Linked DNA regions of Struthio camelus. The protein of the gene in region 1 interacts with the protein of each later gene in a biochemical or structural test. Links are inferred from orthologs where the notes say so. Each region holds a gene or a part of one and is shown in the gene's direction. Other genes may lie near its edges. The genes, in order: TRDN and CASQ2.

Region 1 (15,565 bases):
CTGTGGCTGAGGATCTCCTGCTCTCGGTCTCTGGGGTAATGTTTTTATTTTCCTTTAAACTGTGAACTTGGAAAAATTCGTTTGGTTGATTTTGGCTGAACTGTCCCTTTAGGACCGTTGCACTCTACTGCATTTGTTTTCTACTATTTCAGGAAGACAGGAGGAGGAGCAAGGAAAAGGAGCAAGTCTTTTCGGTAACTGCTTTACAGACAAATATTCTTTATGGTTTGCATTAGAAAGTTGACTTTGGACATATGTTGCAGCTTGGACAGGAATCTAATAAGATTGGCAGTGACAAATGGTGATGTACTATTCAAGGAAAATTAGTATATCTGCTGCGCTGAGTGGTAAAGACATTAATGCTCAAAGTTATTTCTCCTTTTAAAAGATCCTTTATTTTTTGCACAAACTTTTTTAGTGCAGTCGCAGCTGTCAGCACAGACAAGTTTGAATTTACTAATTCTTTCATTCCACTCTCACTCTATAAAAAGACTAAATTGCCTAATGAAAAGCTCCCAGTTTAGATTTCTTTTAATAATAATAATAATGATGATAATAATAATAATAATGTGGGTTCTTCATCTGCAATTCTGACTTTGATCAGTCCAAGACTGTGGCTAGAATGAGGCAGAAAGAAAGAAGAAACCCAAAGAAAAATTGTAGCTACTGTTAAAAAAAACATATTTTTCCTTTTAGACTCTACCTTTTCAGAAATCTCGTTGCTGTCATGTGATTTCTTTCCTATAGTTGATAACTACTGAAATATTTTGCCTGCTTTATATTTTTTCTCCGTTTTCCTGTATCTGTTGCTCTATATACTTATGACAAATAACAGATGCCAATATTTCCTGAGTATTTTGCATCTTAAGTTTGTGTATTGCTGGGTGGGTAACTGACTTTGTGACACATAAAGGGTTAATTCCAGCTGCAGCCTTTCATATTTTAGGATTCAAAGAATGATTTTCAGCCAGATATAATCATGAATTTACTGCCAGGAGCTGATATCTATCCAATCTGTGGAAATGCACGACTCGACCAGATTCTGAGGTCCTAGGGCAAAGGGAAACCTTGGAACGGTTAAAAAAAAAAAAAACTGCCATTAAAAATAGTACAGCAGAGACACACTGTCTGCAAGAACACTCCTAGAGATACCATCCGTAGCACCTAGGGGATGTCTAGGATAAGAAAGCCTACCTAAACTTGGAAGTAAGGACTGCGACTTATAATTGTTCTTTGTCTAAGCCTATTTCTACGCTACTGCTGTTTTTTCCAAGCAAATGGTGCTTAGCTTGGAAGTGGTTTCTATATCACTGTGCCTAACTGTTCACAGAAAGGCCTTGGCAAGAGCCAAAATGCAGAAGGACTTCCTGAGGTTTGGACTGGGGTTGGTTAGAAGGAGAATCCTTTGCTAATGTGACTGTGGGAATTCCACAGTGTCTAAGAGCACACAGTACATAACATAAAATATCAAGCAGGAAGATAACTCATAAAATGGAAAAAAAAAAAAGTGAGGTTTCCCCTTGGTTATGAAGGTCAGACTCAGCCGATAGTTTCCAACATCCCAAAGCGGGTTCTCATTAGTGAAGACACTTGGAGTACTAGTTGGTTACCATATTCTTTCAAAAGTATTTAGCGTGAGAATATGTATTTGTCTTTATCTTTTAACACAGGTGCAACTAGGCTTTTCTCTAAAATCGCTTTTCTTTTCTTCTGCTTTTTGTAATATGCAGTATATCTGAAGAATTATATTTTGTATGCTGATTTCTATTGAAACTTTTTTAAAAAAGAGGTCTGGAGGCAAACTTGAACATATATCAGTGGAGGTTTGGAATTGGATCTGAAATTTGACGCTCAGAAGAAGCTCAGATGTTTTACTACATGTCTTTTGTGTGACGTATTTCCAAGTCCTATGAGTTCAGCACAGAAACTTGATTTAAATAAAATTTCAAACAAGCAGTCATTTTTTTAGAAAAGCTTTTCCTGTTCTCAAGCAAAAATTTGCCACAGAATGTACAGTGATTTTTCTTCGAAAGAACTTTTTGGCCAGCCAGTACACCAAGTTCATTAGGATGTTAGAACAGATCTCAATCAATATTTCTGTCTGAGGTAATTAATGTTATGTCAGAGCTCACCCATGTCTCTACTAACTAGCTGGCTGCTTGTTATCTTATGTATGTACACCATTAACCTTGGACACGGCTTGTCCTGAGGGAAAAGACAATTAATGTGCACTTTTTGACATTGCTTCCTAAAAAGGGTCAGATTCAGATATCCCCTCTTCACTATCAGAGAGGTTATCTGTGAGACAGCCTCTGAGAAGTTTCCCAAATACGAATGTAAAGCCACAAGGACTGTAATAAAACAACATTAATTAAGAATTGCAAGAATAAAACAAATTAAAGGAACATTATATAATACAAAACTGTTAAAGCTCATACAAATATAGTCTACATTGATATGCTGTAATAGACGCCCTCCCTGACCCTAACTCATAGTAATATGGAGTACAGTTAGAGCAAATAAAATTGAAAAAACACTCCTAAGCAAAGGGTCTGCTGTAATCTAATTTCCCTCCTTTGACTCTCTACTCAGCCAGCTTGCAGGATGGAGTAAGGGTATCTTACAACATCCTCGCTTCCTGGAATTCAAATAGTTTTGTAATCGGTGGGTCTTTTCTGATGTTAAAAATGGTTCATTATTCAATTGTACATCTAGGCCGAGGTTACAACAGCAATTTTGCAGCATAATATCTAATTGGGGGCATTGTCTATAGTGAGGAGGAATAGTCAGTGTCGTAGATATTTTATTTTATACCTGCTAGCTTTCCATCATGTAGTTTAAGAGTAATTTCTTTCTGTGAAACCTAACCTGTCAAATGTCCTTTAATGAGCTCAGAGCGTTAGGGTGATATGACCCTGGCGTGCTTGTCAGCTGTCCCCAAGCAGACACTGATTTGAATTCAGACCAGTCTGCCTACAGAGATGGGGCTTCTTAATTGTATTCTACATTCATCTGCCAATAGTTCACATTACATGCAGGACAAATTTACCATGCAGTTTAACTAATTCTCTCCTACACTTTAAAGAAGAAAATGTTTAAAGGTACTATGTATGTGACTGTCTCAGTGAAAAATGATGCAGACTGATTTATGAAAATGTTTAAACCTGTGCCAAGCTTTAATCTAAATTAGAAGTGAAACCGAGGTCTTATTTAGGTCTATCTGCACTTTGGATATGCCTTACTTACATGGTGATGCCAAAAATCTTGCAAGTGTTATTCATGACATTTCAACCTGAATGAAGAGAATTATTTCAGAGCATGTAAAGGTCCATAGAAGGTCACAAGAACTACATCTGTGACTGATTAGGCTTCATGGGAACCAGAATGTGAATTTCTTCTCCTGTTCCTACAGAATAACATACGATCTTACCAATGGGAACTTAATGAAAGTCACGTCTATACGTAGCAGCATTCCTGAACCAAAAAAAAAGGAGGGAAAATATTTCTTTTAGTGGAAACTAGTGAATGCACCAAACAAATATTAGTATTTTTCTTCATATGTTCCTGATAGCTCAGTGACAGACACCGCTCTAATTCCCTCTTCGCTTCTGCATGCATCTTTACTTTCACCGGTATTCATAAATCGAGTACCAATCATCATCTCCCTAGCTGTATATCTCCTTTCTATATTCAGCCTATACCGGTTGATTACTGATTGTTTTCTGATAACAATATACTCCTAGAATTCATTAGATATATCAGAGTTAAAGATAAGATTCCTTTCCTTGACCCTGCTGTGCTGCTGAGTGTGTACTGAGATACAAAACGCTTTTCTTTTGCTTAGTTTGATTTTGTAGGACTGAACTCTTAGATTTTCTTAGTAACATGTTAGCAGATAACTTCAAACATTGTTCTGCATTTTCTTGTTGAGAGACAGTTTTATCCAATCCCTGAAATATTTTCTTGAATCAGTATGAAAGTCTCTCCTCTCATTACCTAATAATTTAATGCGATCTATTGTCTTTCTCTATTCCTTTTTTAGCAATATCATCATGGCAACCCAGAAATTAGCTCATAAAGGATTTGTGTACTCCTACTTTGATTATTTAAACAACATAACTTGTCATTTAAAAGTGGGAGTTAGTAGTAGAGCTTGTCAGATAGTAAACCTCTGACTTTTTCCTAAAATAAAATGTTCAAGATATTATTTTTCTTTGATTTTTTAGTTAAGACTCTCACTTAAATGCAACACTACCTGAAATCAAGGCATATGGTCACATGCAGACATCTGCAGCGACTTCCTTACTCTCCTCTTCAGATTTTTCTTTTGTACAAGATTGCTACTTGCTCTCTATCCAGGCAGCTAGAGAGTAAAGAGAACGTTCGTTTTATGATCTTTCACGCTGACTTGTATAGCTCTGTAATCTTGTATGAGGAGGCAAAATTAATCTTCTGTTATAACTCTCTCCATTACCACTGAATCTGAGATCCGATCCTGGGGCAGTTTATTTAAGATGTAGCTTCTTTGAGTGGGAAGAGAGTTCCTATTGCTTACCTGAAGATCAGAGCCAAGACTGTTTTCATCTTGTAACTAAGACCGGATGGAAGAAATTCTATATGTGCCCAGGTTTGGACATCTCTTGAAAGAACCAAGGAAAGTTTTTAATTTTTCATTATTGTTATCATTTATAATATGAAGAAGAACAGAGGAAGGATATGTTTCAAAAGTGGCAAAATTTCCATCCAGTTAGATAGGATAGGCTCCCACTCATATGCATTCTGGGTCAGTTTCAATATGTAACCTAGGTCAGGGAATTAACCCAGGGAATTAACCTTTACTCTGTGGGATGAAGAGCTATATAAACTTTGTGCTGGCCTTCTGCATAATTTGAATTTCATAGACTAGTGAGCCAGCAGCTAGACTTCGGATTTTAACAAAACTTCTAACGAGCCCTAAACCTAATTTTGAGAATTTCCCTTCCTTAATCTCCTACAGAACAAAGCATAACACTATAATTTTCTGAAAGTAACATTTGTTACTGAAAGTGAGTGCACATATATGCATGCACGCACATGAAAATCAGAACTTTGTTTACCATAGTCTGGCATATTTTTGTAAAGGTTGTGATTGTCTCCAGTAAATATAACACATAGCTTTCCTGACTCCCCTCCCCCCCCCAAGAGTAAACAACTATGTAAATCTCAATACAGTTGCCTAGATCTATGTCTGTTGTAAGATATTTGTGCATGACAGCTTTAGCCTGCTTTCCAGAATGAATTTGTTGCATCTGCAAGGGATACAGAAATTAACAAGTAGCACTCTCTCTGACCGCTGGGCTGATGTGCAGAAAAGTAATGTCCAGTTGGATTCTCTCACTTCCTCTGCTCTTATATTTTGGTTTCAGAGTATCAGCCTATGGCTGGGGGTTGAGCAAAAAATAGCAGTAAAGGAAGTAAGGCATGGAGGCGAGAAGGCACGTGGTAGGAGCTGAAAATGGAAACAATGAGGGACACAAAACCATACACATACAATTAAACAAGCATAGATGCCCACGGTCTCAGGAGCTTGCTACGTAACCAAAAAGCAAAGCTAAAATTCAGTTCTGGATATTATCCCCAATTTTCTCCCCTTATGTACCCAAACTGAACCTTTGTTATTTTATTTCACTTCATATGTTAATACATGTGAAAGCAATCCTGACTTCAGGGTAATGGATTGCTTTGTGCTTGGTCCTCTCAGCATCAGCTGAGATGATATGTCCCACATCTCAAGCCTAGCTGTGGAGCTACAGATGACCCAAAATATTTAATTGTTCATGCAAAATGGAAATGCTCCAGCAGAAGAAAATAGAGTAATTAAGAAGGACAGGAGCTTTACTTTAGTATCACACAGTTTACCACAGTTTACTAACCACTAAGCTATTGTGGGGTGCTGTTTATTGCTGTGCATATGATTCCACAGAACATTTAGGCACTCATGAAACAGCATTTCTGAAGGAATAAGGCTTTATCTAAAATGTTCTCATCAGCCTCAATGAGGAGGATCTTCACAGAAAGACAGGCCTAGGCTAAAGAAGAAAAAAGGGAGGGCTAGGAGGACAATGAGAATAGGACTGAGCACTGAGCATTGCGCAGCCACAGCTGTTAGAGCAAAAGATTTGTTCAACAGAGCTGAAGGAGAAAAGGGATGGAGTACTGATGCTAAGCTTTGGCTAGAAAATGGCTATTTTTTACATTTTTAGTCATGTGACGCATTGGAAGTGGGTTACAGTGAAAGAAATCCTGATGGTGACTATTAACTTCTGTTCACTGAGTCTTCCCTTCTGCATCTTATGCGCTGGATAAGCAGATTCCTCTCCTTTGCCACAGAGCCAGGTGCTTTTATCTCCTGCAGGGAAGATGAGAAGTGCAAATGCCAGCCCATGTAGTGGAGAAGAGCTGACTATAGGTTCCCTAGTCAGAACTGTTTAAGATGGCATCTGATTTCATGTGACGGTGACATTTATGTAGAGGCATGCTGGCTCGAGGGCACTTTTTAGTTAATCTTACTTTCAAGCTCTTGCACTAATCTTACAACTGTGGGATTGCAAGCAAAAATGCAATCAATAGATTGCTCAGGTTTTTCATTTATTATTGTTGCTTAAATTATTTTTTACTCTAATTTTTGTTAAAGGCTACTTGTTATCACTTTTAGAAAACTTTGTTTACAATCTCAGTGTTTTTTTTAACCAAGTTTGTCTTTACTGTAAATTAGACCTGGGAAAAAAATCTAATCTTCTTAATATTTTCTTTCATGTTACTTTGACTCATTTAGAGTATTTAAACTATTACTATAGTAAAACTAAACTATTCCTATTTATTTTTTCACCAGTGATTTTTAATTCTTAGATGCACTTCAAAGGTATGTGTCATCATTGCAAATCAAAAGGGAATCAAAAAATTGACCTCCCCAGAATTACCAGTTTTATAAATTTATATGTTTATAAGTGTCTCTATTGGCCCTGTAACTAGGACTAAGAATCGAAGTGGAGAAAATTACCTAAATTTACCCTCCCCCTTAGTCAGTGGTAAGCTTCATAAGACCCTCCCCAAACCAAACAAGGCAGGGAAGAATGTGCTAAGCACTGAGTGTGCTAAGAATAAAGTTGAGCTGAGATGGATAAGGTTACTTTGAACTCTATGTTTCATGTTTCCTAACATACACCCCAAAGAACTGTAATTAGGTTAGGGAGGCTGCAGGAGCTCTAAACAGTTCTTCCCATTTCTTTTGCTTTTTGCTGCATTTCCATGCTTTCCTGTCCTGTTTGGAGCTGGGTATTTTTACTTTTATGTACCGTGTGAAAAGTTCTTAGGATGTTAGAAAAAATGTGCTGAAGATTCACTGTGAGGCATGGCTATTTTTGTTAGAAGCTGATACTGAGCTCTGTGCGTTGCCTTTGGAAGGCCTTAGGTTGTTCTGGGTGGGCTGGAGTCTGCAGAGGAAACAGAAAGTTCAGAGGGGCACAAAAGAAGAAGGAACAGAATTAGAAAAAGCAAAGGACCTCCTTCCTTTTTGTTCTGCAACTCCTGCAAGAGCCGGCAATCCAGAAGTTTTATCTAAGCTGCCACAATATACCTTGACCTTTCTAACAGAGTATCTCTTACCATCATCATTATGGCCGAGATTACAGCAGAAGGTACGGTAACTACTTTCAAATACAATTAAACAAAAGTTGTATATATTTTGACAGTGTAATTGAGCTAGTGTGTCAATGTGATTTGTTGCTCTTAGAAAATAACACCTTTGCTGTAGGGTCATTTTACTTTACTGTAGGGTCATTTTATTTAGTTTGTCAGATTGCTTTTTCCTTGTCTTTCTTTTTTTTTCCCCCCTTTTTTCTTTTTTTTCTTTTTTTCTTTTTCACTCCTATAACCAGAGTTTATACTAGTTACTGAAGCTAGATCTTTGTACACCTCTAAAAATAGCATTAGTTTCATAGGCAAAGCAACGGTGCTTAGGCAGTTCCATGAGAGTAATACAAGAAGGGAAAAATCGCACGGTTCCATCCTCAAGTCTTTACTTAGGTAAATCTCTGATCATCCCTTATAATAGGAGATTTTCCTAAATGAGAATTTGGGAGCTGGGTGGCCCTGATTTTTCCATAGAAGCACAGAATGTTTGTGAGCTGTACATAAAGTTACTGAAGGGTAAAAGCTATCAGGACTGCAATATTTATTCAGATAAACTTCCAGGGGAGCCAGTGAAAGTTTTGCTGAAATAAGTGCTCTAGAGCAAGGCCCACAAGAGTGAAAGGCAATTGTATTAGCCAATAAATATATCTTATAAAATATGAATATTTCATGTACTTTAATATTTCCTGACCATTCATATTTAAATAACATTTTAGATGCGTAACAATATTTTATCAGCCACAGTCAGACAGAGGAAATGTTTAAAATGCAACCTTCTGCAAATTTAATATTGAATTTTTTCATGGAATTTCATGCTAACCGTTGTTAACAGTGTGGGTCACGCCATTGTTTATCCAAATTTGATAATGACACTATATAAAAAAAGAAGGATTTTAAACATTGTTCTGAAAGTTATTTTTATTTCACTTGTCAAGGTTATGTGGTGTTTCAGTGTATGAAAGTTGTACTTTTCATCTTCTTTTTTTCGTTGTTAATATTTGTAAGATGATCTGCATTAAGCAGATTGAACATTCTCTCCCAGAGGATTCATATTAAGACTATGTCAAACTGCGCACAGTTCTTGCCTGATGTCCAGTTAGCCACAGCAAAGAGCTGATGTGGGTACGGGTTTGTTTTCTCGGTCGGGAGTTGCATGGATCTATAATTCACTTCTGGCAGCAAATACTGCCAAACAGGTGGCTCAGTGTGACAGCCCTAATTCAAATGATAGCAACTAGTTTATTTGGTTATTCTTAACCTGATTTGCTGGAAACACTGTTTGTTTTGTAGATGTTATCAGGCAAATCTGTGAAATTCTATCTATCTGTCTTCTGAAGTGTGTGCATTAACTCCATCAGTGTTAGATAAACTGTGTGGAGGTGCCTCCTGGGAGGTTCTCCATCTTTAGAGAACCCTAATTAAAAATGAAAATTAGCAAGATTCTTAGTCCAAAATTAATATCAAACATAAAAGACTTTTCAGTAAGTAAATCACTTAGCTACACTGAATATCTCTACACAGCTGTTCTGTGCTGCTACGTCTTGGATTTGCTGATTGAAAAAGAGAAAATAAAACCCCCTAAATTATATATACGTACATATATATATATATAAACAAAATAGATGTATACATATTTTTGTATATATCAGTAAAACATATAGTTTGACGATGTCCTGATTGTGCTTACAGGTTCCTTAGCTGTCATATTGTGTGTCTTTAATCTCTCTTTTGTCTGTGCAAGGCAATAGAGACTTCAGGTGGTAATGGATATACTGGTGCTGCAGTAATCCGACCTTCAGCAGGATAGGTCAACATAGCCAGAGAATACAATTCTTTTTTTCTCTCTCTTATATTTGGAATGGAGTTATGCTGACTGGCTGATTTTTAAACTCTGGATCCATGAGATGGAAATTTTACCCATGGCAGAAAGCTAAAAATTCAGCCTGAGGCTAATGTTTCACTGCAGATTATTCTTCTCTGAGGCTACTGCTGCCACTTACACGGTAGTCTGAAAATTCAGATCTAAACTTTGGCAAACACATAGCTGGGACAAATAGAAAAACAATTAAAATATCTCATTTCATACAAGGCTTTTTTATTCTTCCTTTTTTTGTTTCTATTACTACTTCTAATCTACAATTTGCTGAGATCTTCATAGCTTTGTTAGGATTAAACTGCTTGTTCCTTGTGATAGGTATTCTTATCCCTATTTTATTTTGTTAGCCACACATCAGACAGACTGTTAGACTACTTGCCCCTTGAGATACCATACCGACATATCAGAGAGCAGTGCACAGTGACCAGTGTGCCTGAAGCCATGCGGACCTTAACACTGCTGTGCACAGCCTGGCTGCAGATCTAGAGAGAGATGGTCCAGCTCTGGCAGACTGGTACAGTCAATGCAGATCTCAAGGTATCTTTTTCGAACAGCCTATGTAAATACCACGATTGCATGGGGACAAAGGGTGCTCTTTCAGGTGAACATCACTGTAATGACAATGATAGCAAGTAGCTTAAAGACATAGCCACTGAGCAATGACCCTGACCTATTTTAATTGCAAGTCATCTGTGCTATCTACGTGATATCACAGCTACAGACTACCTGGTGATCAGATATACTAGTGAAGTATACCTGGTAAAAAACAAAAGAAGATCTGGGAAGATAACAATTTATCCACAGAAAGCTGGCAGGACCTAGGTCTCCAAGTGATAAGTATTTTAGGAAGAAAAAATCCTAAGGATTTTCTTCAGTATCCTCATGTTACATTTAATTGCAACGACAGAAAAGTACTATGAAAATGTTTCATGGGAAATCACATAAAATTAAGTACAAATGGCAGCTCAGTACAGGTATTAGGTATTACCTCTTTGCAACACTCTCAGGAGCTTTATTATTATTATTGTTCTTGTTGTTATTATTATTTTTACTATTATTAACTTCAGCTGTTATTGAGTGTTCCATAATGGCCAAGGACTTCATTGTGATCCACCTTTGAGCATGCCTAGAAAACCACAGCCATCCAACTCAGCTACTCTGCTATGTTTATGAGCGTGGGCTTTGGATTGGACTCAATGGCACATGCAGTTAGAACTGCCATCACTGCAATACAAATGTAAAAAGCCCGGCATCCCTGAGAAATGGCTTCTACCAGTGTACAGCTTAATCGGTATGTGCACAATAGCAGCAGCAGGAGCCCTATAGTTGGTTTTTTCTAGCCAAATCTACTGCAGGTCACAGTGCAAGGTTGATGGCTGTCCCTTGGCACTTATCCTCCTACACATGGCGCAATGAACAGAGCCTTAGCTCTGCCTGCTGCAATGCTCTGGAGGTTGCATACTGATCTAATCCAGGGAGGTGAGGAAAGGAGAAAGACAAGGTTTCTATGCCAGCTGTTTGTCTGACACAACTTATTTCCCCAGTGGAGCAAGAGTGAAGAAGGAGTCAAACAGAAATGTGACAATGAGTCACAATTTGGTCCTTATTTTGTTGCTGAGAGCTATGCAACTGCACATTTCCTATTTCTCGGAGCAGATTGTAAGGAGACAGGCTAGCCCGGAGGCTATACACAGCCTGTCAGTGACAAAATCAAAATTAGCTTCTGGATTTCAGTCCTTTTCTCAGGCTATTTGATAAGTATGAAAAGTTTTAAGATGTAAAACGTTTCAAAAGGCAGATTTAACATGATCTGCATGCTTGAAGATTAATACAGATGAAACCGATAATGTATGAGAAATAATATACAAGAGCCAGAGGGTAAAATTATAAAGATTTTATGAGTGCAATGGCCAGAAGCTAACAGCAGTCTTCAGTAGGTAAAAGTTGAGCAAAGTCACACGATAGGCAGGAAGGAGTTTGGTACTTCTCATGGGAATTCATGAATTGCTGCTAGAAGTGCTAGTTCTGCTGACTACAAAAGGGGCCTGGGTGAATAAACTAGATTAGATGATTCATTTTGATGGCTGAAATCAGCTAAAGCATTTCCTAGTCTTCAGCTGTATTGTTGTTTAAATCTTGGGTTAGGAGGTTACTGCAGAATTTATTCAAACTAAATTTTGTAGTATGAAGGGGTGTTTTCTTTTAGCCTTTTTTTGGCTTCAAATGTTAATAGGGAAATAAATTGTACACCTTGATCCTGCAAAGGGTTAGGGAAGATGTGCCATTGGCACATGTTATTTTGGGCAATGATTTTTTGAAGGAGTTAGTCTCCTCTTGTTCGAAAGTATCTGGTCAAGTCAATGGCCTAATTATTTGGAGAGATGAAGTCAAAAAACCCAGGACTGCCCGTAATAAGGTAAATCTTTGAGAGGAACAGAAGCTGGAAATTCTCACTTAAATTCCATTAAACTTGGATTCCCCTGTGCCTGTGAAGTGGACACCTAAGCTGGTTAGTTTGACTTAATAGGTTCCCTCAAGGCTGGCCAGCATGTCTTAGCCTGTGCAGGCAAGCAAGCACAAGGTAAAACTTGTTAGCTTAAGTCTGAAGTTTAAAAATTTGGGGGCATTATTACTCACAGCTGGTACAATATCTACGCATGTTCAGATTGTACAGAGAAACTCCAAAATATCATTAGCTTATGCAGCACATTTGAAAGAAAGCTAGCTGTAGACAGCAGGGAGTCTTAAAACCTGTAAAGCAGAGGTTTAAGCTAGTATGTCGTGATGCTAGCCCATAATGAGCAAGAAGTGTGTGTGCACACAGTTCATTTGTGCACTTATTGTGTGCAAACAGCTGTATTGTAGGTCTGATCTGATCGTGTATTCACTTTTTTTGAAAGGACCTTGTGCTCATAAGTATTTGAAACAGGTTTTTAGGGTTACTTATATAACAAGAAATACACTTAAAGGTCTAGCAGTATTTTCAAAGCATTGATGCAATTAGTTCCCACAGATTTCAAAATGAAATCTGTGTAACTGGTTAGATTCTCAGAAGTGCCTTCAGGTACCTCCAGCTACCTGAAGCCTTGGAAAAAATCTAGCCTATAAATGTTTCGAGTGTTTTTTTTTTTCCCCCATTACCTCCAATGAGAACACTGACTAAGAGGCTAATTCATGCTACTTTTACAACAAAATTGAGCCTTTAAAATCTGAGCTTCACTCTGAAAAACAGTAACTGGTTTAGTTTAAAACATGTTTCACAATGCAGGTCTGGCTTCAGTCCAGGATGCACTGAGGACAGAGAAACCAGAGCTGCCCTCTTTGAAGCAGGTCAGCTGCTTACAGAAGTGAGGAAGCTTTCCTTTTCTTTTTGATGCTAATATTGGCTGGTTTCTGCTCTGTTTAAGCAGATTGAACTAGCGGACAGTGTTCATTTTACTAGCTTAAATAATGTTTAAAGCAGCAGAGGGTGGATTGTTTTAAATCCAAATGACTGAAAAACCTTTTGAATCACCAATATTAATCATGATTTAAATCGGCAAACAAGAAACTTGGATTTCAAAACAGCAGTTTTAATCTCATTTTTGCATGTGTAGTCTAGGGAAAAAGAGCAGAAAAGAGAGATTGATTCCTATTGGCTGATAACAAGTGTCATGACTGAAAACTGAATATAATCTTTTTCCTAAAATTGTACTTTTTATTCCTGCACAGAAAGATATCCTGTACATGTTATCTATTAAGATATATATATAGTTCATCAACCATTTATCCAGATTCTAAATCTTTCTACATTTTTGATGATAGAAAATAGTAAATGGTGCATTTCCCTTTTACTAGATAATGATTTTATTTTTCACTTTTGATTTCTGTCAAGCTTCATTAGGATCGAAATTGGAATTCAATTAAAATGGTATATAACCAGCATTTTAAAATTGTTTATTTGTGTACTATAAATGTACTGGATATATAGCAAAAGTTCATTTTAAATAGAGCATATTTTGATAAGTTAAGTGATTTATTAAACAAATATAGTACTATTTGTAGTTTAGTTTCTGGCCACTGCATACTGCAATAATATATAAATGATAGAGCTCATTTTCTTTCACATAATGTTTATCCAAAGATTAGAGAAGGAAAACTTATTTTCTTTTCTTTTAATCCCTAATTACTTCTTGATATAGAATAAGATAGTAATTGAGTTCAAATAGTAGAATTAATTGAAACGAAGAAAATATTTTCCACGTTTACAAATAGGTTATATTGTCAAAAACTGCCTGGCTTAATTTGGCTCCATCTGCCTAGCAAGTGATTTCCAATAGCTTAGTGATTTGCTTAACTTTTTTCATCACTTTAATGGCCTGATCGTAGCTTTTTGTTTGCATAAAAGTGATTTTAATAGATGGTACTATGAAAATATAGTCCTTAGCACAATTTTTCTTAATTTCATATTAATTTTAAAAAGATGCGTTTGTAAAAGCATTTTAAAAAAACCTCGGTTTGTGATTCGAAAAGCACCAACAGTTTTATTCTCTGCCATCTCCCAGTGCATCATTGTTTGATGGGGGCTTATAAAGGAGAAATATTGAAGACTAATATTGAAATATCTTCAGTAGTTGGAGTGTATGGATGGCTGTAAAACAGTAACAGTGATTACATATCTGAAAGACTTGTACAGCGCCTTACACGAATTTAAAAATAATTCAAAGGTGTGGTCAAAGACAACTTTACAGAGGAATACAGGCCTAATATTCTTCATGCTGCTTTACTTTGACAGATCAGATTGATAACAGGGAACATGAAGTAGATGAGAGGATCTGAACTGAAAAGTCATTGTAGCTAAAGACTTAAAGTTATGGCCATCTAGTTATATTCCTTATCCGTTTGATCCCTCTGTCATGTTCTCTCTGCAGCTTTAAACATTTTCACTAGAAATTATGATTATTTCATATTTTGGTCTTAGTCCAGTGTCTTTATATAGATCTTGCCTTAATGCATTGAGACATGACTATTCAGACTTTAGATCCTTGAGTGGTAGTTTATTTAAGCAGCGTGCGGTCAAAAAGGACCAGTAAGATTTAGGGTCTCGGTTTCTTGCTGATATTTACCTATAGCATAGTTGATTTATGCATGTAAGTTTGTTAGGGAAATTATGAAGCATATTCTTGGCTACCAAATAGCCAACAGCTATCTCTAGCAGTAGAGAGAGGGGTACCAATAATTAGCAACAGATACATCAAATGACACTGCCAATGTGTCTTGTCCCACATTTTATCCTTTTTTGCCTACTGTCTGGTGTATTTTTGGTTCTATAATACAGTTTTCCCTTTTCTCTTTCTCTCCTTCTCCCTCTTCCAAGATCTAAAGATAATACTGCAGTTAAGTAGGCAGGATATGTAACTCTGGTCCCTTCCCTAAAAGTAAAATATAATCAGAAGAACATAGTGAAACACACAGTAAGCAATTGCATTGCTCTTCAGGCTCATTAGATTTGAGGGAAAGAGATGAGCTAATGTAAGAGAGAACAGGCTAAATAAAAAAACTGTAAAAGAAGATATTGTTTTTTTTTTTTTTTTAACCCAAAACTGTCTCATATGCTAAAGCGCAGTCAAACGAGCTCAGTTGCTTGACTTTATGGTCAGTGCTAAGTTTTACCCCTAGAAATCAGGATGAAGGAGTCTTGGTTAAAAATCCTGAATAAGCCTCACTTCAGTCATATAGCCAGTTTGGGCTTTTTACAGAATCTGTTCTACAGCGCAGTATGAATTTGTTTCTGGCCTGAAAGTCCTGCTTAGTGCTGTATGAAGGCATTTTCCATAAGAAAGGAAAATATAAAATGCAAGGCATAGAAAAAATTTCTCACTGGAGAAGTCTCCTTTTTCTGTCTTCAAAGATGATTTTAAAAAATCTTTTACAAATATGTAATGAGTAAAGACCTGCTACTCCCTGTACATGCTTATGTTCTCACAACTTCAAAAGTATATCTGTACCTTTGCCTGGAGTCAAATTGTCAAAGGCACA
Region 2 (16,070 bases), on another chromosome or scaffold:
TTGCTTTTGGTTTCTCATGGTGTCATGGGGAAGGGCTGGGGCAGGAAGCTGCTGCTGGGGTCTCTTCCTTCTAGCAGGACTCCTCTGAGCATTCAACCCTGCAAAGTTTCCTCCACTTCCCAGCCTCCCACAGCAGACAGGGACAAAAGGCCAGGCAGGCAGGGTCACAGCTGGCAGGAGAGGCCAAGGAAGAGCCCTGCAAGCACTTGACTTATAGGCCAGCTATAAGGCAGCAGTGGCAGGAAACAACTATACAGTTTCATGTGCAGTGTGTGAGTCCTGACAGGTGCGTGCCAACAGCTATTGCTGATTATGCTGTCCCTGTGGCACAGTCTGCAGCAGGCTCTATGGTCACCTAGACTCGGGGGCCCACAGGAGCATCCTCACATCCTCCTCATGCCCCCCTTTCTGCCTGCCCCGCCAAAGAAAAGCAGCTCAGCAGGGAGCCAGCCTGTCATGCAGCTGGACTGCAGCCAGGGTGCCTGCTGAGGCCCCCATCTCACCCACAGCGCGGGCTGTGCCAGCGTGGTAGAGAAGAGACGAGGTCGGTTCCCAGGTCCTACGAAGGGAACTGAGGAAGCTGGATGGACAGACACACACCATGGGTCCTCTCAGCCTCTGCCTCCACGGTGGACTCGTGTTTTGCCCTTCCAGGGGCCTCTAGATCCTGGTTGGGTTTCTGCACCCGCAGAACAACCTGCTGGCAGTGTGAGCACTGTGATTACTAGCTTCACACAAAATCATGAAACTCAGAAATAGTGTCCCAGTATGAAAAGAGACCTGAGCAACACACGCCAGTGTTACTTCAAGCGCAGGTGGCAGCATCTAAGGAGAGCCGCAAAAAGATTCAAAAGGCATTGTGAAATGCGTCCTCCAGCCAGAAGGCTGCTAAGCACCCTCAATTGCTGGCAGCAGCTCGTTTTCAGTAGGGCAGAGACATGCCTCTTCTCACCATCAAATGCAACATCAGTTTTCAGCTATCCCAGAAGAGTCTCATTTTGTGCAGGGTCTCCATCTCGTTGCTAGCTTTCACCATATTATCATGTAGTTTGTGATTATCATAGTCTTCCCTGGCTACAGGATTCATGCTACTACTCAAACATTTCAGCTTCCATTTAAAATAGAGAAGCTTTTTTCTATGTTTTGTGGCTGCAGAGAAAAGCTTGAGCAGGGGAATTCTGGAGCTACCATGCCAGGAAAAAAAAAAAAAAATCCCAAGCTAGACACTCCTCTGATCTCCTGATTTCTAGGCTGACTTACTGATCTGAGAGAAGGAGATACCTGAGTCATTACTTCTAAATCCCTGGAAATGCTATGTAACTGTATCCCACCAGTATCTCTGGTGGTTTTGCTGCCAGGAGGGCTTATGCACATAGAAGAATTTGAATTAAAAAATTGCCCAACATAAAAAACCATATGCCTACATTTGCTTCAAGCCATAGTCCGTGCTGCATAGACCTGACTATAGCCATAGACCTGACTGCAAGACATTGAAACTGTTTGGAAAGCTATTCACCCTAGAAATACGCATGCCTGACAGGTGCCAATAGACTTTTTAGAGAGATTCAAGGCTACCCCAGACTGTACTAAGTCCAGTTAGAGAAGAGAGAGGTCAAAACAGAGCAGAAATTCAAGAGCAGTAAATCTGTTCTATCACCTTACCAAATTAAAGAGAGCGCTAAGCTTGGCCAGCTCATCATCAAAATGGAATGAAATTCCTGGTGACATAGTGAGATCACTCCAACGCTTCCCTGACCCTGCCAGCTGCACCCAGCGAAACCCGGCAGACGTCACGGTCTCTGGCTGCTCCAGGCAAGGAGGGAGGGTGGTTTTAAAAGGCAGCACAGGAGGACAGGAGCAGGGGAGTGCAGGAGAGCAGAGCTGCAATTGTAGCGCAACAGGTGTAAATCTGCTTGGCACAGCTCCGTCAGCAGCAGAAAAAGCCACGCTGCTAAATTAAAACCCCACCGTCCCATCTGATCCTCAGAACCGTATTAAATATATCGGCACTTTCGTGGCTGAGGGAACACAGAGAAACCCAAGGTGAGAACGGCATCCCAGACCGGGCCAGCTCAGCACTGCCGGGTGCAGGATCATCGTTTCAGACCCTGCCCCTGGAGGGCTGAGTTGAAGCAGCACTAGCAGTTAACGCATGCATTAACTTATCCTGTTGTCTCCTCCTGCTGGACTGAGCACAGGTGGGAGGTGAAGCTAGGCGTGAGTCCAGTGATTCCCTCTCCTCCAAGAAAAAGGCAGAGAACCAGAGGGAAATGGCTAGATTGGTCTATGTGCGGCCTAAGGGTTTCCAAAAGAGAACACACGATGTTAAGCCATGTGGTGGTTTCTTAGGGTCTAGCCTAAGCTAGTTTTAGAAATTTCCTGGGCTCCTTGGGCCAGAGCTCAGCCTAAATCCATTCACACCCCTGCTCTCAGGATACCAGCTTTGGGCCTAGCTTTCAGGGAGGTTCAGGGCTTGGCTCTTGGCCACTTGGTTTTTGCAGCAATTCCCCAGAGCTCAGTCGTCAGCATCTCTCTCAGTAACATGTGTGGCCAGATTTCTGAACCAGCTCTGCTGTAAACGTAGCCAGTAGCAGTTGCTTCCCCTCCACCAGCTCTGTGACTCACCAAATCCTTCAGGAACCTGGACCTGGCCCGTGCTCTCAGCCTGCCTACAGCACCAACCACCAGCAGTCTAATGTCCAAGCACCTCGAACCCAGCTACCTTCACCTGACCCTGCTGTTCAGAGCCGTGCTATCTGCATAGAGAACTGAGACACAGATGGACTTTTCCAAAGTCACCTGGGAAGCCTGTAGCAGTAGAAAACTTGAATGACCATCTGCCACCCTCGGCCATCTTCCCCTACTCCTGAAGCACCCTCCTGCTAGGGCACATGCCGGTGCCTTTCCACTGGAAAGGAGATTCTGGTCCCTGCCTATCTTGTGTTTAAGTTGCTGCTTTAGCTCCTCAATTGTTATATGTGACACAAAAAAGGGTGGGGTGAGAAGGGAGACACAGAGGAAGGAGAAGAAGGAAGGGCAATGGAGCAAGATAAATGAGAGGGGTAAACTGTACACTACTCAAGATAAGAGTAGTAATTTCACAAGAAATTTGAGAGGGTTTTTGTGGGACAAGCATGCTCTGTTCCCATTGCCATGTTATTTGTCTAGAGGAGAGTTTTTCAGCTTGTGGCACAGGAGTTTTTCTGAAACAGGGTGTGTCAGAGGTATCTGAGGAGAAAAGGTCTCTCATCAGTCAACTTAAACTTATTATGCAGGGATCTGCACTGACACTGGAATGATTTTAGGGGTTCATAAATCAAAAAAAGGTTGAAAGCCCCAGCACTAAATATGTGTCACACCTCTTCCTCGCTCCCAGGTGCTGCAGAAGAGAAGGTGGGTAAAGAAGCCATTTCTGGCAGCAGCGTGGGCTGGGTCTCTTGCTGGGCTAGTTTAGCATAGTGTGATCAGCAGAGCTCTGCAGGACGTTTGTAGGACCCCAGCGCACTAGGGCCCTTACAAGTGAGGGGAGGATTTTACTAACCGGGCTGTGGCAAAGTTAAATCTCCTTCTTTGCAGGTTAGGAAGAGCCAGAAGGCCAGATACCTGCTCAAAAGTCTTTTCCAAAGCCAAGTCATTTGCCCAAACAAATCTGCCTTCCTGGGGATCCAAGAAGTCATTGCTTAATTGGATCAGCACAGCTACAAACATAGCTTCCCTATGCCCACTCCCGCAGAGGCAACAACATGCAAACAGGGGGCTTGGGCTCTGCAGTGATACAAGCCCTATTCCGTTGGTGACACAGTGAATAAATCTGGGTCCACCTTCCTTAGGCACGGTGCCGGTTACTCCACCCTAGGAGATGGGAGTTCTTGCAGACAGAAGTACAGGGAGAAATGGGACACCTAAGTGCAGCCCTGCACTCATGCCAAATATAAGGCCTCTCTAGGACTCTCCATGAAGATTAAGCCTTTTCTGCTTCCCAGCGCTTCTCCATATGCTTTTCCTTTTCACTTTATTGCTCTCCTTCCCACCTGTTTTCATCCATGCCGCTGGGTCCATTTCCATTTGGCCCCAGGTGGTGTCTGAGATAAAATCCTCCTTGCTCTGTAAGGTTTATAACCCATTAGGAGGTGACAATCTCAATCCTTCTGGGACAGCCCAGGGCACTTTTTGACCAGGGCACCTTCTAAACTACTTTCTGACCTGCATAAGATGCTTGTCCCAAACCAATTTCCAAAGACAGAGAAGCACAACAATCCCTATAAAGTAGCACAAAGCAACTTCACTGTGAGTGACAAGGTGTCTAAAAGAGACACTACTTTGACATGTCAATAAGTAGCAACCCTATGTGGCTCTGTGTGAGCCAGAACTCCTGTGTCATCTTGTTGACCTTCCCTTTACAATTTCTATATAATTTTGCATAAGTGCTTTTGTCTGCACTGCATTTTATTTTCCTCATCCAAAAACATGTCTGTATGTCAAAAACAGGAGGGATTATAGCATCTTCTCATCACACTATAGGTCCCAGGACACCTTGGTCAAAATATACAAAGTGTCATCAGGCCCTATTTGCAAAGATACCTGGCATCTTAAAACAGGAAAAAAAGGAAAGAATGATCCAACTGCTTGTACTTGCCATCACTGACGTGACTGCATCAGAGTGCAGGCAGTGTAAAGCACCTTGAAAGGCTTGTCGCCTTTCAACCCTTTCAGTCAGGGTTGAAGGGAAGGGGTGGAGAGAGAATGAGGTTTTCTTGCACCGCAGAAGTTTCTGTGAGATGATAATGAATCTCTCTGTCTCCTCAGAAAGACTCAGTGTTTCTCTGATGCTCCTGTCCTAACGACAGCAATATTCTACAAGTTATTACAAACTGTGACCTTACTTGGCTAGCTACAGCCCTGGTAATGAGTCCAGCTGCTAGTAAAAGGCATATTTTCTGGATATTCCTATCTTGCAAAACATGCAAGGTCTTAGAAGCTTGAAAAGAGATTAGCATAAGCAGAACCTTAAATCCTGAAGCCCTGGAAAAAGGCTCACCAAAGCATTTGGATCAGCAGTGGCTGGGGAGTTCTTTTGCTATGTGGGCTAAAGAGGACAACGAAGGTGAGAACAGCAGTGAGGAATATAGCTGGAGCAGCAAGGAGGCTGGAGCAGCCAGTGTATATCCCCAATTTCTAGTATAAATTGGAAAAAAAACCAACAAGGAGGAGATCATTATTTATTCTACTTCCCTATCAGGCACCCTGCACTTCTGCAAGTCTGAAGTGAAGGCCTAAGACTATCCTATTTTGAGCAGTCCTATTCTATAACTATTGCTGGCTACCTATCATCAAAAATTTCAAAGAAATAGAATTTTATTGAGTTAGGATTTTAATTTATCTCAACTCTCAGGGAAAGTTTTCCAGCCAAGTTCCGTGGAGCCAGGATTTTTTTCTCACTGAATATGCCCCCAAAAACTTAGAATAGTGGATAAAGCCACAGCAAGTTTCTCCTTCAATTCTCTCTTTTTCCCTCTCTTTTGCTAAGAGAGCTTCCAGGTGGAAGGCTCTGGGATGGTTAGCTGGGGAAGAGCATTGTTTCAATTTCTTGAAGCAGGACATGAAACTAAGAGGTGCCGTAACAGAATGATTGAAGTGTATTGGTTAAGGAGTTGGAGTCAGGAGGTTGAGCCTTGCAATCAACTTATGGCAGAGACTGCTGGACTCCAGCTTTGCTAGGGAATGAGCTATCTGAGCTGGGAGGCAAGCGTTGCGAGGCACAGCACTGACAACACCATTCCCTTGCATGTCACTAGCCACAGAACTTGAAGTGTTGCAACCACGGGCAGCCATGGGCAGAGGAAGACCTCGAACTATGCAGGAGGATAGCATGAAGCATTTGTAATGATCCTGTGAATGCAAAATCCAAGACTTGACAGAGTAGCTGTCCCACTCCATCCTCCCCTTCCATGGGGAACTGCTATTACTCCTACTCTGCAAGAGAGGATCTAGCATACAGAGAAACGTTATGTCAGCATCCTGTAGAAATGAGCCTTCAACAAAACCCTGGTTCCCCAGATCCGTGAAGTCTACACCCTATCTTTTTCTTGACAGCAAGTCTATCCCAAAATTCCCGGTCTAAAACACTGTCTGAACTCAGATGGACAGCTTTGAACTCCTGAAGAGGTTTGCTTTCGGGGCTGAGATGAGCATGACTCAGTAGGCTGCTGTCAAGACCCAGAGAGGTCAGATGAAGAGACGAAAACAGTACTTGGGGCCTTTGTCAGAGTATGGGAGATTCTGTTTCAGTCTCAGCTCTGCTATTGGCATCCTATAGGTTTCCAGGCAAATAAGGAGCTCTGTATTAGACTCAAGTACTTCTGTCCTGAACACCCCAGAACTCATGAATCTGGGATTTCAATTCAGATCTGTACCTGCAAGATTACAAGGAGAACATCTGCTTTGATTAAAGCTCCACTTCGTAAGAATTAAAAAATTAAGGTGATTGAGACTGTTGTTCAGATTTTGAGGAATTTATCCTGATTCTCTTCACAGGTTCGTTCCTTTCTAAGTCAAACACGTAAACTCTACCTCCTGAGAAGCATACAGACACGTAAGCCACTTACTAGGGAACAAGGTATCCTGAATTTCAACTGAATGCAGCTAAAACTAAAAGAGTACAGAAAATGTCCCCTGGAATTAGCATAAACAATCCCACTAAGAACCACTAAGGTTCTGAGCAGAGACAAAGAGATGTACTCTCTGTTGACCATGACATCCAATGTCGTTCTGCTAGAGGAACTCCCTTCAGGACATAGGTGAAGCCTAACAGTGAGAGATCTTTGCGACTCGTACTACAGACAGATTAAACAGATGATTTAAATAGATGATTCGGGGCTAACAAATCAACACTTCTTGTCAATTAAAAAAATCCTTTTGGTGATTTTTCCGATAGCAAAAAGAGGAGAAAATGAAAATTAGATTATGTCTATTTTAAGACAGATTAAAAAGACTAGAGATAGCACATTAAAAATAGCTTAAGTGATATGAAAATGGAGCAATTGCTAAAGATCTACAAAAATAAAAGGAGGGCAGGAGTCTGGGAAGCTGATTTTGAAGTACCTGTGAATGTTCCATTCTTAAAGCACTATCTGATGTGTGTCTGATTTCAAACACACTGTGATGCCAGTGGAAGCTTATTCCTGCACCTCAATGCATTAAGTTATTCAAAGATAAGCAACCAACCTGATGTGTGCCCGATCATCCCACAATCTCAGTTCCACGTTTTACAGCCTAAGCATTCAGCAAGCGTCTATCAAGTCATTGTCACCCATTGTGATGAGAGTCTTGCAGCAACCACTAAAACAATTAGTTTTATCCTAGGTTCATCCCATCTCCTCTAAAAATAACCACTCCTTTCTCAGCTTTCTCAAGCTTTATCATTAGGACATCAAATCACAGAAATATGTTAAGCCTATGAAAAAGCATGGCCAGAAATTGCAAAGGGGTGTTGGAGACAAGTTAGACATTGAACTTTTTGCACTAAGTTTCAGTCAGCATGTCATGGGCTGTTCATGTTGCTAGTGGAAGCTAAGGGGGATATGTGCTCCTATGTCACTCAGAAGAGAGCCATAATTGTTCAGTAGCACTCACCTTTTGTTCCAAACTAATACAGGAATCTCCCAGCCATGCAATTAAATGGGAAGAGCTGGATGGGGCAAGAGCGGTATGCACCAGGAAGAGAGATCATCTTTTTTTCGGAGTGGACAGAGCAAAGGTGTTATGGAGCAACACACAAGGCTGGGCACCATGAGGAGGTCTAGTAAACCCATGTGTCTGCACCTCAGTTCAGTACAGGAGACACCCATGCCCCTTGTCAAACTCTGCTTTGCCACCTCCTCAGAATACTTTCTCCAGCAGATCAATGTCACCCCCCGGTTGTCGGCGCTGACCTGCAGCCAGCAGGCCTGCTTCTACATCCCCATTGCTGCCAGTAATGGGGCAGTGATGACACGCATGTCAGAGGAGAGGAAGGCATGAAAGACTCCGCTGTCAAACCATTCTCCCTCAGCAGCTTGATGCAGGTGAAGAAGGAAAGCAGTAAGTAGACCTGAGACCCTGGGGAATTAGGGGGAGACCTCAGGAACGTGGTCCCAAGGAAAAGAAGGAATTTACTGGTTGCTGTTCTTGGGCAACGAAAAGGGAGGGAATATGAGGAATCACTTGCTAGTAAACTCAATGGAGCTGTGTGACAAACACATCAGGCAGGTCACAGAGGCTGGGAGGCCCACAGGGACAGCAGCACCTGTCCACTGTCCTGAGGAGATCCCTGCCCACTGCCCCAAGCCACCTGCAAGAGTGTGTGCCACCGCCTCCTGCCCCTCTTGCCTTCAGCATAACAAAGCTTTAACTACTTATACAGAGTTTGGGGCTTGGTAACTGCTCTGGGCATGGAAGGTTGCAACGTAACCCTCCATCTGCTTTGGGATTACAGCTGGGAGAAGAAGGTTCACGTGCCAGAAATTCTCCTACTACCCCGCAAGCAGAGAGAGCACTTCAGAAAACAACTTGAATTTAAGCAAGCAGCACTGGCTGCTGCCCCAGGAGGAGAAGGGAGTCCCATGAGCTCTCACCTCCTTTGCTGCCTGAGGAAATGTGTCTTTGCCTCTAGTGATGCAGTCTCTTAAATCATTTAATCCAAGATCCGCTATCCATGCCTAATCACTGCAATGCCCAAGTGGTTACAAAGAAAGACACCTTTATTATAAAACACAGTAAAAATCTTCTATTTTTGTTAAGTCCTAGTAGGGCAGATTGTGCCTTAATTCTCTGTACAAGTGAAGCCTGTCCCTTCATAAAACCTGCCTGCATAGTCCCAGCGTCGACATCCTCCACTCACTCACTGCCTCTCACTCACTCCCTCTTGCTCAGATGCTGCAGAGTGCCAGCAAGTCCCTCAATAGTGTCATATCTGTCCTTTTTATTCATTGCAGGGTTTATTTTTAGCCTGAAACAACTGCTTCCTAAAAATGGAGTTCCTAATGACACGGGAGCCGGACACAGCTATGTAAGGTATCCAGGGCTTGGCCTGACAGCTTCTCCTGTCTGTCTCTTTGTTTTGAGCCCAGGACTGCAAAGTTTGCTGCTTCCCACCAACCTTGCAGAGTTTGGACTGATCATTAGGAAGGCAGAAGACAGAGAAACGCGGTTCAAACTTTACCTGGGGTCTTTGGTCTCCCTCTCTTTCCAAATAGATAGAAGAGACATTCACCTGCCTTCTGCTCCGCTCCAGAGGTTTCCCTATGAAGGCAACTTGCTGGATTCTGGCAGGTTTTTACCTGCTTTTCTGCTGCAAGGCAGAAGAAGGACTTAATTTCCCCACTTATGATGGGAAAGACCGAGTGATCGACCTGAACGAGAAGAACTACAAGCAGGCCCTGAAGAAGTACGACATGCTCTGCCTGCTCTTCCATGAGCCTGTGGGCTCTGACAAAGTCTCCCAGAAGCAGTTCCAGATGACAGAGATGGTCCTGGAGGTAAGCACCGGTGCATGTCTCAGCAAGGATCAATACCACAGCACCCTTTGGAGCTGTGGAGAGGAGCCGTGGGAAAGGACAGTCAAAGGATCATGCCGGGGGGGAGCGTCCAAAGGTTTGGGTGTTTACCTGAGTTTGAGTTAGCCCTGGGGTTCTGTGAAGCCCCCCAAAAAGGCCTTTATTGCACTGCTCTTAATCGTTTGCAGGGAAATAGCCCCTCTGGATCGTAGGTCAGAATCCCAGGCAAAACCAAATAACCTTGTAAACCTCAGCAATACAAACCCAGACCAACTGAGCTTTTCTAAGTCTGCACACAGATCTGAGTATGGAGCTTGAAATTTTTAGATCTCTTCTCAGTTTATGCAAGCCAGTTCCCCCTCCCCTTGTATTCTGGATTCAGTCCCATTTTCTATCCCGCTAGGAGCAATCAGCCAAGAAGCCCTTATTAAACTGTGCTGCAAAAGGGCGTCCTAGCTCCCCTTCTCAAAAAGTCCCAGCTGGTGCAACACTAAATCCGTTTTCTGTTTTTCCTGACACTCAGTTGCCTACTTGGAATCAGTCTGTAGCTGCTTGTTAATGCAATCACTCACTTTGGTGCTGGAGAAAAGTATTGTTAATTATTTGGCAGAAGAATGATGAAGTAGTCCTCAGTAAAATAAATCACAGTAAAAACTACAAAGTAGATTCATAGCATTCTTTCTTATAGCGTAGCTGCAATCTAGGAGATCACACAGCATAAAGCCTGGATTGTTAGGGGTTCACTTCCTACCAGATGCTTAGGAACATTCCCTCCTAACTAAAAGAGGCATTTGGAAAGAGAGAGAACTGCAAAAGAAATACATAAACTTTATTATTCTGATCCAGGGAAAGAATGCATTGCACTCCTATAAGAACAGCAATTGTGGATTCAAAAACATTCTTCCTGAGGGCTAGGACCTAAAAAAGTCCAATGCCAAGTTCAAGATCTGCTGACCCCCTCAGCAAGCTTAATAACAAGAAAGATTTCAGAACTAACTAGATTTTATTCACCTGTCAGGAAACAGTTAATTGCTCCAGGTGAATGCTCAACTAGCATTTGGCAAAGAAAAGAAAAGATAACCCTGGGACTCCCTTGAAGTGTTTATGCCTGCTAGTATAATTGCATTATTATTTAATAGGGTACTTATTTTGTACTACATATATGGCAAGCAGTTACTAAATACATATTTATAGAATCATGACAGAAGCGGGTATGTTGCGTCCTATAGATTATACTCATGACAAGTATACCCATGTTAACAATTAGCCGTATCAACGGTGCAATGATTGTAGTACTATATGAGTTAAAGCTTTTGTTTCGTGGGGTTTGATTCTGCAGTGTATACGTTAGCTTAGGAAGGACTCTGGAGATTTGGTTTCCAATCACCTCTCTGCTATAGACTTCTTAGCAGAAGTCTATCTGGGCAAGAGATTAGGGGTTAGATCCACAGCAGATTTTACATAATTGTCATGTTCCAATTCGCTAATGCTCAGCTACCAGCTGACCATGGCATACACCTACTGGCACTTGTGGATTTAACCTCAAAATTTCCCAAGCACTTGCAATGCTGACTCAGTGCACATCTCAAAGTTTCAGTCTTCCCTGGACTGGGAGCCACAGCAGCAATTTCATAGCCCAAGCACAACAGCAGTCTACAGACAGTACCCCTTTGCCTATGTCACCTAAGGGAATTGGACTGCGAGATGGTCTCAGAAGGCACCTAAGAGACAAAATCCTACAAAGGACACAGCCCAGCAAGATGCTGGAGCTCCCAATTTCCGGGTTAACTCAGCCATCAGAGCGCTCATGAATGGTGTGGGCAAGCCAGGTTTTAATCCACTCCTTGTGACAGAGCTCAAAGCCTCACCTCCCAGGAGGCAGTTTGGCCACCAAGCCGCACTGTTATTGTGCATTGGGGATCACTCATCTCTCCTGCTGGAGCTCATCCAGCACTGTTTGACTTCACATGTATTCACCAGACCAGTGAGAGGGAAAGAAACGGCTACAGTGGCTCTGTGGCTGAGGTGTGAAGTCATTCACCTGGGAGATGAAATACCTTGGATCAATCTCCTTGGAGGCCGTCAGAAATTGAACACAGACCTACCATAACTCGAGCACATACTTTGAATACTGAGCTGCTGGTTAGGCACAGTAGTATTGAGAGGGCCTCAATTTCCAGTCACATTTGGAAAGAGTTGGCTGGTGCTCCTCACTCAAGGAAGGCCTTATGTGTCTATTTTCAGGGAAGGGTCCAGTGTCTTGAATGCTCAGTTAAGGAAGGCCCTTTGATCCTGAAATAAGGTGTCTAAGAGGCAAACACTCAAGCCCTTGGTGTTCCCTGCCAACTGACTTGAGGGCTGGCTGTGGTAAGACACCTTTCGGGAGAATCTAATGTTTTTCCATCTTACTGCACAGAGAATTTACCTGCTGACTCACAATGGGACGTGCTGCTTCCACAGCCTGGAAAACATTTACGTCTTTAGTTTCCCTTCCATAAAGCGGCACTGACCTCCCTCACTAGGAATAAGAGGGAGTCTTCGACCAAAACCCAGCCAGGTGCGGAGCTAGGCAAAGCTCTGATGTGGGTGGTTGAGGGTTGTTGCTATTTCTTGAAGAGCGTGAGTGATTGCACGCACAGAAGACAATGACTTTAATGGATGTTAAGTCCAAAAAGCCCCCAAATAGTCCACCCTTTCTGTTTCTCTCACATGCATACCAAGTCATTAAGCCCCTTATAAGTAATTTATGATTATAAAAACAGAAGATCAAAGGCCTCGGGAAACATCATAGATGCCAAGAAAAGAACAGGAGAGATCTGATGCCCAAGTACCTGCACATATGCCAGCAGAAACGTCCAGATGTGTCCAGATAGTAGATGGCATGGCATGTTGCACAGCAAAAGTACCAGCAGTGCCTACCAGTTCAACTCTAGATCCAACCACTGATTTAGGCTTCAGCATGTGAGAAAAGCCACAGCTACAAAGCACCTAAGGGCAAGATAGACTTTGACAGACACTCCTCCGCTCCAGGAGGAAATTGTCTCTTCACTGTGAGCATGGTTTCCCTTGAAATGTGTGCGTTCCCAAGAGAAACCCATGAGACTCTCTTATGCGGGTTCTCTGGAGTCTAACAAGGGTTGAGCTCATGTAGCAACGTTTCCTTTATTCAGGGCACTTTAGTCCTTTCCTTTCCAAGTTCCTGCTCTTCATGAAGCTTGCAAGAACTTAATCATATTTAAGACTTCTGCCTCTGTAAGATTTGGCTGAAATGGACTAATAGCTTGAAAAATTATTAGCGGAGGTAACTGACAGACAGACTGGAGAGGGAGAGCACGAGCATGCAGAATAACAAGGGCCTCATTTCCTTAGGAAATCAGGCTGAAAACCAGACAGCACATCAGTAAAATTAAGCACATATTTAAGGACTTTGTCAAACTGGAACTACAAAAAGCAGAGTGAGAAGAAATAATATTTTCCCCAGAAGCCATAGTGCAGCTTTTGTGAAGACTTGGCACAGCCTGACAGCACGCAGGCCTGACATGATGAGCTTCAGGCCTATGAGAGACTTGCTTAAGAAAAGCATATGTCCAAGCCTGAGCACTCCATTCGTTTGTTAAAATAGCAAAAATTTCCTCTAAGTCCTTCCCACAACAGAAGCCCAGCTTGCTGGACTGCCCTTGCCAAAAGTACTGGCTGGACACCAGACATCTCCAGAAAAGGGATGCCATCATTCACCTGACTACCTGACCACCAATGGGACAGCTCACCCAGTCTTCAGCTCCCCACACCCATGTATACTGGGATCCATCACTGGATTCCCACGCAGTCTAGGGTCCCTTTCCAGTTTAGGAAGGGAAAGGACTCCTGCTGAGGCAACAAGCCTTCCTCCCAGGTAGAGACTGGCAGGGAGCCCCCACAGCAGCTCCTTCCACCACCTCTGCTAGCTGCTGCCTGGTGATAACAAGGCCCTGGGGCAACTGAGCCCCTCTGGGAGCAGCAACAGCAGCTTCTTGGCACCAACCTTTGCGCATGGCAACAGCTCCAAGGATAGCAGTGCCAGCCCCTCAGGTGGCGGGTAGGAAAGCCAGGGGCTGTCAAGCTAGTCGATAGGGAAAATAGTCAAAGCAATGTTTGGAGATGCAGCTGCCTAGTGGCCAGCATGGGGAGACTTTGTAAAATGACAGCAACTCCAGGACAGAGACAGCGTGGCCTACACAAGCGCGGGCTGATGCACAATTCAGATGAAAGGGCTCTTTTCCTTTGCTTTCCCTTCTCCCAACCCTCTACTCTGCCCCACCAACTACTGAATAGCACTGAATAGCTTGAATGGGGAAAGGTCTCCCCACAGGGCAGTGCAAGAGGTTGAACTAGGCAGTCGCAGAGCTAGCAGTAGCTATCCTACTCTGTGGCAATGTTTACAAGGGTCCTGCATGCCCTGCAGAGCGAGCACAACGAAGCAGCAGATGACACAGCCAGAGACAAGGCTTTGCAATACAAATTTACTATTTATACTACTTACTATACTGTTATGTGATTCTGCGATTTAAGAGACAAGGAAAAAAAAAAAGCTTGTCCTGAAGAAGTCTCAGCTTTAACTGAAAAGGGGCAAAAGAGGAGACCAAAAGAGTGAAGCTGAGAAGTATCTGTTCAGCTTCTCTTGTCCTTCCTAGCTCTCCTACCACGTTTCCTCTTGTCTCACACCATCACTTCTCAGATCTTGTCCTCTCTTCCTCTCACCTCTGAACCCTTCACAGTTACTGGAATAGTTTCTCCTTCCAGAGAGCCAGCCCTTGCCTCTAGGAACCATGTAATAATAACGAGCAGTGAGATTAGAGGCTTTACTTTTGAACATGGAAAGCTCTCTCCAGCAACTGAGGTTGTCTCACTAGCAGAGCAGGCTGCCTGCAATGCAGATCATTGTCTCCATTCCTCTCCTCTGTGCTTAAATGGCCCTTCAATGCAACAGTGTCCCTGGGCTGAAATTTCATGGAGAACTGCCCTGGCACAAACCAGTTTGATTAGATGTTAGAAAAGGACATGGTGGTCCCCTTCCAGATCAGCCCCAGGAGCAGAGGCTTGCCTCTGGCAATAAACGACAGACAATGTCAAACTCCACAACATACTTACTGGATTCTGTAATGCACTACACAAGGAAAAATTCCTCCTACAAACCTGGGGATATGAGTCCATGAGGTCACATTGCATCTCCCTTCTAGTGCCCAAGCACAGCCAGTAGCTACTTGTGGTGGGAGAGGGAAAGACAGATTTTTCAGTCCAATAAAAGAACAGGGTTAAAGTGTCTAGCTCCCAGTTCACTTGAGAGCAAGGATTTATTTTCAGGTGTTCAAACATCTGCACCTCCTCTCATGAGCTTCCAGCTCAGGATGGAAAAAAACTGGGGCAAGATCAGCTGTTTTTTGGGTAGTTCTACCCATATGGTCTTGAAATCTCTTGAGAACAGGTGGTTCCTGTGAGAGTTCAGAGCCACACAACGTATAGAGAAGAGGACCTCTCTGCTTCTCATCCAACATGGAAACAAAGTCTACAGGCTTAGATCTGTGCAGTTAAAACCAAGTTATCCCAGAAATTCATAGGAACCAGGAGCTGAGATTCTAGTTTATCCCCATCTCTAGACAGCATGCAAGAGAATACAAAATCAAGCACTTTCTTTAAGCATCCATGTCTGTCCGTTTCACAAACTTAAATTTCAGCCTTTTTCTTTGAAAACGTTCATATGAGAGCACCTCAGTAAAATTTCCTGGGCTGGGTAGCCACGTGCACAAAACATATTCATTGACATGGACTAAATGCTGCTACTCACAGTGCGAGCAAATGGTGCCAGAGATGAAACATGCCATGGAAACTGTCAGGTCTCCAAGTCCCTACAGAGTAAGCCCTCAGGGTAAGAGATGAGGCACACCTGGAAGGGAAGATATGTGCAGAAGCCTACCATGCAACTGCCTTGTACATACCTGTAATAAAAGAAGGGTTTTGGTTTCCATGGCAACTAAAGCAGTAACTGCCACTACAGCTAAGTTAATACAAAAATAAAGAAGGAGAGGAGAGAAAAGGAGAAGAGGAAAGTGTGCACTGACTACTTGTCCTTTGAGATTATGCAAGTAGGTCTCAATTCATCAACAGCCAGCAGAGAGAGAGCACTGATTTTCAGCAGCAGCACTAGGAGGATTTCACCCACTGACAAAAGCAAGTTACAGAAAACTCCCATTTTGTAGACGGGGACATTGAGATCCAGCAAGTATACAATTATGCCATACTGTATAATAGTCATAGAAAAAATTTCCAGGGCTGCCCTGCCTGTGATGGCCTACCGTCTTTCTTTAAAACCTCTCTCTCAGTCCACCAGCAGAAAGTTTGGGCTGCCTGCATGAGCTGCTTTTCATATACGACCCCAGTATTACTGCAGCACCTCTCTTTGAAAGGCACCGTTCGTGTCTGCTGAAGTGCTACTGGAGTGGTGTGCTGACAGCAGTTCTTTGGGCAGAAAACAGCTGTAATCCCAAACCCTAAAGAAAATTA

What was found.
Region 2: the proteins of TRDN (region 1) and CASQ2 form a complex in vitro, tested with the Homo sapiens proteins (3 studies listed by BioGRID). The link is inferred for Struthio camelus from reciprocal best matches to the Homo sapiens genes TRDN and CASQ2.

What each region holds. Positions count from the first base shown.
Region 1 is NC_090944.1:67,503,430-67,518,994, reverse strand, and holds the start of TRDN (triadin), read left to right. Parts: upstream 1-7,475; 5' UTR 7,476-7,654; coding exon 7,655-7,676; intron 7,677-15,565. UniProt on the Homo sapiens protein: Contributes to the regulation of lumenal Ca2+ release via the sarcoplasmic reticulum calcium release channels RYR1 and RYR2, a key step in triggering skeletal and heart muscle contraction.
Region 2 is NC_090942.1:93,689,436-93,705,505, forward strand, and holds the start of CASQ2 (calsequestrin-2), read left to right. Parts: upstream 1-8,793; 5' UTR 8,794-9,281; coding exon 9,282-9,515; intron 9,516-16,070. UniProt on the Homo sapiens protein: Calsequestrin is a high-capacity, moderate affinity, calcium-binding protein and thus acts as an internal calcium store in muscle. Calcium ions are bound by clusters of acidic residues at the protein surface, especially at the interface between subunits.